Linked DNA regions of Macaca fascicularis. The protein of the gene in region 1 purifies or fractionates together with the protein of each later gene. This does not show direct contact. Links are inferred from orthologs where the notes say so. Each region holds a gene or a part of one and is shown in the gene's direction. Other genes may lie near its edges.

Region 1 (4,496 bases):
AGGCTGGAGATCATGAAGTAGAAAAGCCTCCTGTTAGAGATGAGGATGCCCCGCCCTTCGGCCCCAGAGCAAAGGATTTCCCCGCCTCCGGCGTGGCCCAGAGAATCAAGACCCGGCCATCAATCAAGCCTCGAACTTCTGGCCCTGCCAGTCCAATGCCGTTTCTTCTACACTGAAGTGGTGTTCCAAGACCCATGCTAGGATTCCTTCCCCTGCTCCACATTTCCCAGAACCCACGCTACTCTACCTCACTGACAATTACTTTTGATTCCTGTCCCGGTCCCCTTATGTCCTCCCCTCTTGCCCTGCGTTCCCCTTACCAAGAGAGGAGAGGATCACCAGGACCAGGAACAGCGAGAGCCGGCGCATCTCCGAGCCCAGGCAGCCTAGAAGCCGACGCACAGGGTCTCCAGAGACGCCCTGACCGCCGGTCACCCAGAGGCTCCCGAGTTTGTGCCACAGGGCTGCTGCGGGCAGTGCTGCTGCATAACTGACGACGAAGGCGCTAGGGTGACTTCCCCAGTGCAGTAGCCTGGTGCTATCCGCGGCCCCTGGAGCTCCCCACGAGATCAACTCTCGGAACAAGGCAAGTCCCGGCAGGGCCAAGCCCAGTGCCGCAGCTAATGGCTCCAAAGCAGCCAGCCAGCCCTGGGCACCTGCGTTTTCGCTCTTGGAGCCAACTGTTGCCCTGAGGACCCCGCAGGCCCCCAGCCAGAGCACGGCCCAGCGGCTCAGGCCCACCGCCCAGACCTGGAGCAGCGGCAGCGCGGTGGGCACCAGCAGAGAGAATATGCGGGGTAGCGCGGTCCGGAGCAGCACCCAGTCGGTGAGAAGTAGCAGTACTGTCCCCAGCCATGCGAGAGAAGCTCCAGGAAGGCAGCGGCACCCGCGGGGAGCGGGGCACCTAGAGCTAGCCATTGGCACCCCGACGCCGTTCAGGTCCCGGCCGGCCCTGGGACTCTCCGTGCTCCAGCGGGGCCTGAGGCTCTGGGTACCGCGGAGTCCGCCCCTACTGGCGGCTGGGGGAGGGAGAGAGGGCGGAGCTCTCGGAAAGTCCCAGGAACAGTCTGATCCTGCGCTGGCGAGAAGCGCAGCCACTTAGGGGAAAGCGAAATCGAAAGCGGCCGCCTGCTCACTAGATACGCCTACTTCCAAAAGTGGCCTGCCCAGACTATTTTGGGAGCAAGCGTGGAAATCAGATCTGAGAATCTTGGGAGCAACCCTGGTGCCCAATTTTCTCCGTCACGCACACCCCTCCCGCCTCTCCCTGCCTCCTGCCTTCCCACTAGCACCAGTTTTCCCACCCCAGCCTCAGGGCGGGGCTGTCTCGTCACTTGTCTCCGGGCAGATCTGCCCTATACAGGTTAGCGCCGCGCGCAAAGCCGCCGCGCAGCGCGCAAAGGCGCACAGCAGCACCCAGGCGCCTCCTGGCGGCGCCGCGAAGGGGCGGGGCTGTTGGCTGCGCGCTGCGCGCTGTCCCAGGTCAGAAACCAGTGCCCCAGGCGGCGAGGAGAGCGGCGCCTGGCAGGGATGCTGCGGGCAGGAGCACCAACCGGGGACTTACCCCGGGCAGGAGAAGTCCACACCGGGGTAATGGGTCTGGGCTTGAGGGTTGGCACAGGGATGGAGGAGGTGTACCGGCCAGGGGACCCTGGAAGCGCGGAGAAGTGAATGCAGAGACCGACGGGAACGTAGGGAGGTAGCCTCTAGCAGCCAGCACTTGCAACCCGCAGTCAGCATAGGGTATTTCTTTTCTTGGGGGGCGGGGGGGGTCGCCTAGCGTGTCCGTGAAGGGACCAGGCACGCGAGGCTGGTGGAAAAGGGGGTGCTTTGACTCCTAGCTGGAAGCGTCAAGGGGAAGCTACTCTAAAGCGCTTTCGCTTTCACTCTGGTCCCAGACAGTGGGGGCTGGTTAAATCAAGAAAGGGGGTTGGGGATGGTGCAAAGAGATGAAGAAATGGTTCCCTGGGTGAAGTAGAACAGCACTTGGGAGAAGGAAATATAGGCACTTATTGAGAAGGACCAATTCATCACACAGACTTTTGATAAACTTGCCACTGGGTAACTCTTAGCCCAAGCACTGATAATGGGGGTTCTGCGTTAACCAGTGATGCCCTTCCCTAGCTTGACCCAGAAAGGCTCCTCCTTGGCCCAGATGCTGCCTTGCTCCCTTCCCTGTGTCTTCCCTGCCCACTCCCATGTGCCCACTGGGGGGACTTTGCTTAGGATGGGCGCCTGGGGCAGATGGCAGTCCCAAGACTGGCTGGCTGGCTTCTGCTCTGGACTACTGCCACCACTCGTGGCTTGGGGGCAGCTTTGTTACAGAGGAATAGCCTCTAACTTGAAGTTAACCCTGTTCTTTGACCCTCTGTTCATGATAAGTCGGTCCGTCGGAAAGCACACTCAGAGAAGCGTCCTTTGGGGCCAGAGTAATTTACAGCCTGGTAAGAAAGGCACAGTGAAACCACTTATACTCTGGGAAATCTCCCCTCACTGCCAAATGAGCAGTGGCAAGTAGGAAGTAGAAGTGGAAACAAGGGATAAGAGTTAGACCTGAATTTTAGTCCCAGGTCTACTATTAATTCTGTGTGACTCTGCATAAGTCGTTTGCATTTTCTGTGACTTGGTTTCCTCATTTGAACCGAGGATCTTTAAGACTCCTTCCAACTCAGCAGCAGGAAAAATGTAGCTCTATCTCCCCTCACTTTTTCTTGATTCTTTTCTTGACCTGGAAAAGTCAACTTAAACTTCTCAGTCAAATCCTCTCTTGGTACAAATTTACCCCCCTGGCTGCTGAGATATTTACCTCTTGATCAGAAATTCCATAACTGAAACTTTTATTTTAAACCATCTACGTGTTCCTTGCTGCTTCTCTCCTGCCTTGCCGCTGGCCATGCTAACCACTGCCCTCCTCGATTTTTTCCACTGTTCAATAAATTGAAAGAGCTCACTTCTGATGAAATGGGGGTTGAGAGTGGAGGATTGTGAACAAAAGAAAAGAAAAGAAAAGGCTGACCTTGTTTCCCAGAATCATAGTCAAATGCTCTGTGTTGGGTCTAAACCACATCTGCACATACTAGGAGCCTTTCCCATGGAGATAATTTTCACTTGTGGAGCTGCTTCACTTCTACCTGTAGGAACCTCATCTCCACCTCTCTCTTTACAGTGGAGAGGATTCCACTAGGCAAGTTGGAACTCAGGGCCACAGTTCTTTCTGTGTTGTATCACAGCTGCGCTGTGGCATTCCCCTGCAGCCAGATGAAGCAATAGATAAAGTGGAAAGATGAAGGGAAAAAAGCCTGTACTGACAGTCAGCTCTGGCCTGTTACTGTGTGATCTTTGAGCCAGTCAACTTCGCCTCTCTGGGAATATTTTTTCTTCTCTAACATGAGGGCATCAAGGCTCTTCCTGCCCTGATATTCCATATTCTGTGTCTCTGCAGACCACCATCATGGCAGTGGAGTTTGACGGGGGCGTTGTGGTGGGTTCTGATTCCCGAGTGTCTGCAGGGTAAGTAAAAGTGAAGATGTATGCATTTGGAAAGAAGCTAATGGCCTCAAATACACATTTTTCTTACCCATTCATGAAAAGACTGGCAAATCGGAGCTTTGGAGGAATGGAGTTGACCTTCCCAAAAAGCCACTATGATAAGCTATTTGGTGGGCGCTTGGGTCTCTGAATTTGTGGAGGAGGATCTGGGGTCTGAATGCGTATGTGACCTGTCCCAGTAGTGTACAGGGATGAGTGTAAAGGAATAGGGTCTGAGTGGGGGACAGGAGACAGATTTTTGAGGAGCTTCTTTCCATCTGTATTTAGAGATCAAAAAGATGATTCTGTCAAGCAGATACCTGGTTTCTCATTTACCATATATTGAACTATGTTGTCTCTTTCCCCCCTCCTAACCAATTTCCTCACATGCAAAATGAGTATATAGGGTTAGGTCAATATTACTTACATTATGTTCCATAGAACATAGTTATGTTCTATGTTAATAGCATAGATTGTTAATAGCAAAGAAAAATTGATGAGGCATATTTTTCTTACCTTAGCATTTTTTGCTTTGTTATAAAATCTAAGCCTGAAAAATAAACCTAATTTTGATTAACATCTGCAGTGATTAATAATATCTGAGATGATTATTTGCCTCCTGCTTTAATCCAAGCATTAAACTTCATGCTATTCTCTTGTCAAATAAATTTGAGAGACATTGAATGATCACCTTCAAAAATTCCTGAGTTCTGGTTGGGTGCAGTGGCTCACATCTGTAATCTCAGCACTTTGGGATGCCGAGGTGGGCAGATATTTGAGGTCAGGAGTTCAAGATCAGCCTGGCCAACATGTTGAGACCCTGTCTGTAATGAAAATACAAAAATTAGCCGGGCTTGGTGATTGATGCCTGTAATCCCAGCTACTCGGGAGGCTGAGGCAGGAGAATCACTTGAACCCGGGAGGCAAAGGTTGCAGTGAGCCCAATATTGCACCACTGAACTCCAGCC
Region 2 (4,266 bases), on another chromosome or scaffold:
CTAACATGGTGAAACCCCATCTCTACTAAAAATACAAAAATAGCCGAGCGTGGTGGGACGCGCCTGTAGTCCCAGCTACTGCGAAGGCTGAAGCAGGAGAATCGCTTGAACCCAGCAGGTGGAGGTTGCAGTAAGCTGAGATTGTGCCACTGCACTCCACCCTGGGCGACAGAGTGAGACTCTGTCCCCCAACACACACACACACACACACACACACACAGTTTGCTAGTTTAAATCAGTGAATTATCCTGGGGAGAAAAAAAAAAAAACCGGGCTAATATCAGAGATAAATGCTATGAATGTACTAAAACAGGCTGATTTGTAATGCATTTGGAGGGAGGTTCCTTATAGAGGATGATGAAAATAGTTGTCTCTGAAGAGGTGACATCTAAACTGAGAACCGAATGACAACACCCAGGGTAAGTGTGTTTTAGACAAAGGGATTATTAGCAAGGGCAAAGGCCCTGAGGCAGGAATGAACATGACACATTTGGGAAACAAATAGCCCGAGTATTTGCAAGTGTAATGAATGAAGGGGCAAGTAGTAGAAAGTGAACTTAAAGGGGAGACAGCTGCAACAGCCTTTTGGATTTCATTCTAAGGTCAACAGGCAGCTGAGAAAGGGTTTTAAGCCAGACAGAGGCATGAACCCGCTGCTCTGTGAGAGTGGGCTGTAGAATGGCATATGCCGCGGTGGTCCAGGAGAGAGCTGGTCCGGGCTTGGATAGGGATGCTGTCGGCTCTGGTGCCGGTGTTGCTACAGGTGCGGAGGATGTCGGCAGAGCCAGAGGCCCACGCTAGCAAGGCTAGGAAAGAGAGGCCAGGTCTTATTCCATCTCTGGGGAAAGACAGAAGAGCCCTAAGTAAGACTTATCTGTCCCAGGCGGAGCAGGGGAAGAAGAGAGCAGGTGGGGAGCCAGTTGGGAGGCGGAAGGTGGAGGGCGGGGCGCGGAGAGACTGGCTTAGACTAGACGATGGGAGGACCCGGCGTCCTCGGACGGCGGGCGGCGAGTGGCGAGAGGCGGGAGGCGGGAGGCGGGAGGCGGGAGGCGGGAGGCGGGAGGCGGGAGGCGGGAGGCGGGGACGAGAGGAGGGCGGGGAGGCGGGGACCCGGCCGGCGGGGGTGGGGAGGCTGGAAACTGGCCCTCGCGAGGCAGCCTGTGCGCGCTAGGGGGAGCCGCACCCGCCGCCCTCCTCTGCTGCACTGCACCTCTCCCTGGCCGGGCTGACCCCGCCTCCTCCAGCCCTCCCCGCCCCACTACCCAGGAAGGCCGTGAGTGGTGCGAGCGCCGCTTTCGCTTTCCCTTCGCGGTGCCCACTCCGTTCCTCGTGCGGCGCTAGGCCCCCCGTCCCGGTCATGGCCACGCTCAGGGTTCAGCCCGAGGCCCAAGCCAAGGTGAGCGCCGCGGGGTCTAGAAAAGGCCCACTGGGGAGGCGTGGCTCGAGCGGCCGGGGGCATCCCCGACCCGCCCCCCAGACTCCCACACAAGTCAGGGGCAGTCCGCCGAGCTGGCGCTCCCGGAGCACCTGCGCCCCGGGGAGGGCGGTGACTGCTGCCTGCGGGGACAGGCGAGGCGGCCGTGGTTCTGTGGGGTGAGGTGAAGCGGAGAGCTGGCGTGGAGGGGAACTCCGCTGGCCTGGAGCCGGGGCCACACACAGACTGGATGCGGGACTGCCCCAGCTACCTCGTGGCCTTTCCCTTAGGGAGGGTCCCGGGGCCCACCCCGTCCCTGTCCTGCTCGCAGAGGGCTCTCAGCACCCCTCCTCACACCTGCCAGGCGACCCCAGGGATCTGGTCTCACGTGAACCACTGGCCCTTCACTGCCAGGAATGTTCTCATCCCCCGTATCCAGCCCTAGGGATACCCATTCCACTCTCCGTAGATCCAGGTCTGCAGAGTTCCACTCCTCCACCACCCCAACCCACCCCACAGGCATCCATCTCGCTTTCTTCAGGTCTGGCCTTAGAGGGATCCCCTCCACCCTTCCCCAGGTCAGGCCCTACATAACCCTAAGGGAACTGTCCTCAAATGAACTGGCCTTAAAGCCAAGTTTCTGAAGGGATGCATGTGCCCCACAGGTGGATGTGTTTCGTGAAGACCTCTGTACCAAGGTAAGACATGCCCCATCAGCGGCCCCACCCCTGCCCAACTCCTACTGCTCAACCCTGCCTCACCACCTAGGATGGGCATATGATGCTGACTCCCATCCTTCTCCATCCCACCTCACACACAGACAGAGAACCTGCTCGGGAGCTATTTCCCCAAGAAGATTTCTGAGCTGGATGCATTTTTAAAGGTACCGCAGCTGGGCAGGGAGCTAGGGAGTAAAGGCCAAGAGAAGGGTCAGGGGCTGTGAGAGTGAGGTGAAAGGAACCCCCTCACCTCCAGCCCTCCTCCCACCCTACACCAGGAGCCAGCTCTCAATGAAGCCAACCTGAGCAATCTGAAGGCCCCGTTGGACATCCCAGTGCCTGATCCAGTCAAGGAGAAAGAGAAAGAGGAACGGAAGAAACAGCAGGAGGCAAGCTGGGAAGACCTGGGAGAAGGGATCCAACCATGGGGGTAATCAACCTTAGTCCTGACTCTCATGAGCCCCTCTTTTTCTGCAGAAGGAAGACAAGGATGAAAAGAAGAAGGGGGAGGATGAAGACAAAGGTACTTGAAACCACAATTGTGGGAAGAGACTTGAGTCCCACCCACAGGAGCTACTCCTAAGGATTTCTTTCTACTCTCCCCTTCAACCCTCACACAGGCTCAATCATGTGACTGACCCATTGCTCACTCTCTAGGTCCTCCCTGTGGTCCAGTGAACTGCAATGAAAAGATCTTGGTCCTTCTGCAGCGCTTGAAGCCTGAGATCAAGGATGTCATTGAGCAGCTCAACCTGGTAGGCTCTCCCCCTTCAACTCTCAGGCTTTAAGTCAAACCATTGTCCTCTTAGTCCCTGCCATTTAGGGCCTGGCACATGCCAGGTTTTAGCAAGAGAGGGCACAGCAAGTGAAACCAGAAGTCCGGGCTCTGAGGCTCAGGAGAGACCTGGCATGCCTCCAGCCAGTGTGGGGAGGGAAGCAAGGGAGAATATGAAACGGAATTGGATAGAGGGCTGATGTGGCATTACGCCATTCCCTCTTCCCAGGTCACCACCTGGTTGCAGCTGCAGATACCTCGGATTGAGGATGGTAACAATTTTGGAGTGGCTGTCCAGGTGAGAGTGCTGCCCCACTTCCCTGCTCTTTTCTAGTCCATGCTTCCTTCTACTTTCCCCCTTGCTTTTTTTCCCTAGGAGAAGGTGTTTGAGCTGATGACCAGCCTCCACACCAAGCTAGAAGGCTTCCACACCCAAATCTCTAAGTGAGTGACCACCCATGTACACACTGTCTGTTTTGGGACAGAGACCTCCTTCTTCTACTCCATACACACTTCTCCTTCCACAGGTATTTCTCTGAGCGTGGTGATGCAGTGACTAAAGCAGCCAAGCAGCCCCATGTGGTAGGTGAGGCCCAGGTCAGGGTGCATGAGGGAAGGACTCATGTAAGGTCAGGCCTGACCCGAGCTTCCCACAGGGTGATTATCGGCAGCTGGTGCACGAGCTGGATGAGGCAGAGTACCGGGACATCCGGCTGATGGTCATGGAGATCCGCAATGCTTATGTGAGGAGGCGAGGGCAGGGGTGGGCAGAGGCAGCTTTCCCAGGCCACGCACTCCCTGACCCTGCAGGCTGGGGGTAAAGGGTGACAAAGCGCAGCTTCTCCACAAGGCTAGAAATGGGGCACAGAGCCACTGGAGGCCTCTGACTGACCTCCACTCCTCCCTGGCCCTGTAGGCTGTGTTATATGACATCATCCTGAAGAACTTCGAGAAGCTCAAGAAGCCCAGGGGAGAAACAAAGGGAATGATCTATTGAGAGCCCTCTCTCCCATTCTGGGATGGGTACAGCAGAGACCTTCCTACTTTTTACTGGGGACTCCAGATTTTCCCCAAACTTGCTTCTGTTGAGATTTTTCCCTCATCTTGCCTCCCAGGCACAATAAATATAGTTATACCACTGCCCATCAGCCCAAGTCTCTTTATTGGATCTGGACCCTGCTGGCCCTGGCTCAGGCATTTCCATTTCCATTAGTGGGACCAACCCACTGGGTGATTTGAGTGTTGAGCCACTGGTTGGTCCAGTCCTGCCGGATGTCGTCAAGGTGGCAGTCAAAGTCCACAAGGTGCTGGTGGGCCCGATCTTCCAGTAGAGCTCCCACCATCTGCCGTGACTCTTC

The links.
Region 2: the proteins of PSMB9 (region 1) and PSME1 purify together in Homo sapiens (affinity purification with mass spectrometry; 3 studies listed by BioGRID and IntAct, counting the BioPlex papers as one, with this or other methods). This does not show direct contact. The link is inferred for Macaca fascicularis from reciprocal best matches to the Homo sapiens genes PSMB9 and PSME1.

The regions. Positions count from the first base shown.
Region 1 is NC_088378.1:138,874,027-138,878,522, reverse strand, and holds the start of PSMB9 (proteasome subunit beta type-9), read left to right. Parts: upstream 1-1,486; 5' UTR 1,487-1,530; coding exon 1,531-1,590; exon of another isoform or gene 1,591-2,444; intron 2,445-3,442; coding exon 3,443-3,510; intron 3,511-4,135; exon of another isoform or gene 4,136-4,348; intron 4,349-4,496. Other genes in the region: TAP1 (antigen peptide transporter 1), read right to left, coding at 321-918. UniProt on the Homo sapiens protein: The proteasome is a multicatalytic proteinase complex which is characterized by its ability to cleave peptides with Arg, Phe, Tyr, Leu, and Glu adjacent to the leaving group at neutral or slightly basic pH.
Region 2 is NC_088381.1:91,950,004-91,954,269, forward strand, and holds PSME1 (proteasome activator complex subunit 1), read left to right. Parts: upstream 1-1,242; 5' UTR 1,243-1,357; coding exon 1,358-1,396; intron 1,397-2,079; coding exon 2,080-2,112; intron 2,113-2,234; coding exon 2,235-2,297; intron 2,298-2,411; coding exon 2,412-2,522; intron 2,523-2,610; coding exon 2,611-2,656; intron 2,657-2,790; coding exon 2,791-2,888; intron 2,889-3,137; coding exon 3,138-3,206; intron 3,207-3,284; coding exon 3,285-3,352; intron 3,353-3,435; coding exon 3,436-3,490; intron 3,491-3,564; coding exon 3,565-3,651; intron 3,652-3,824; coding exon 3,825-3,905; 3' UTR 3,906-4,051; downstream 4,052-4,266. Other genes in the region: EMC9 (ER membrane protein complex subunit 9), read right to left, coding at 4,099-4,266. UniProt on the Homo sapiens protein: Implicated in immunoproteasome assembly and required for efficient antigen processing. The PA28 activator complex enhances the generation of class I binding peptides by altering the cleavage pattern of the proteasome.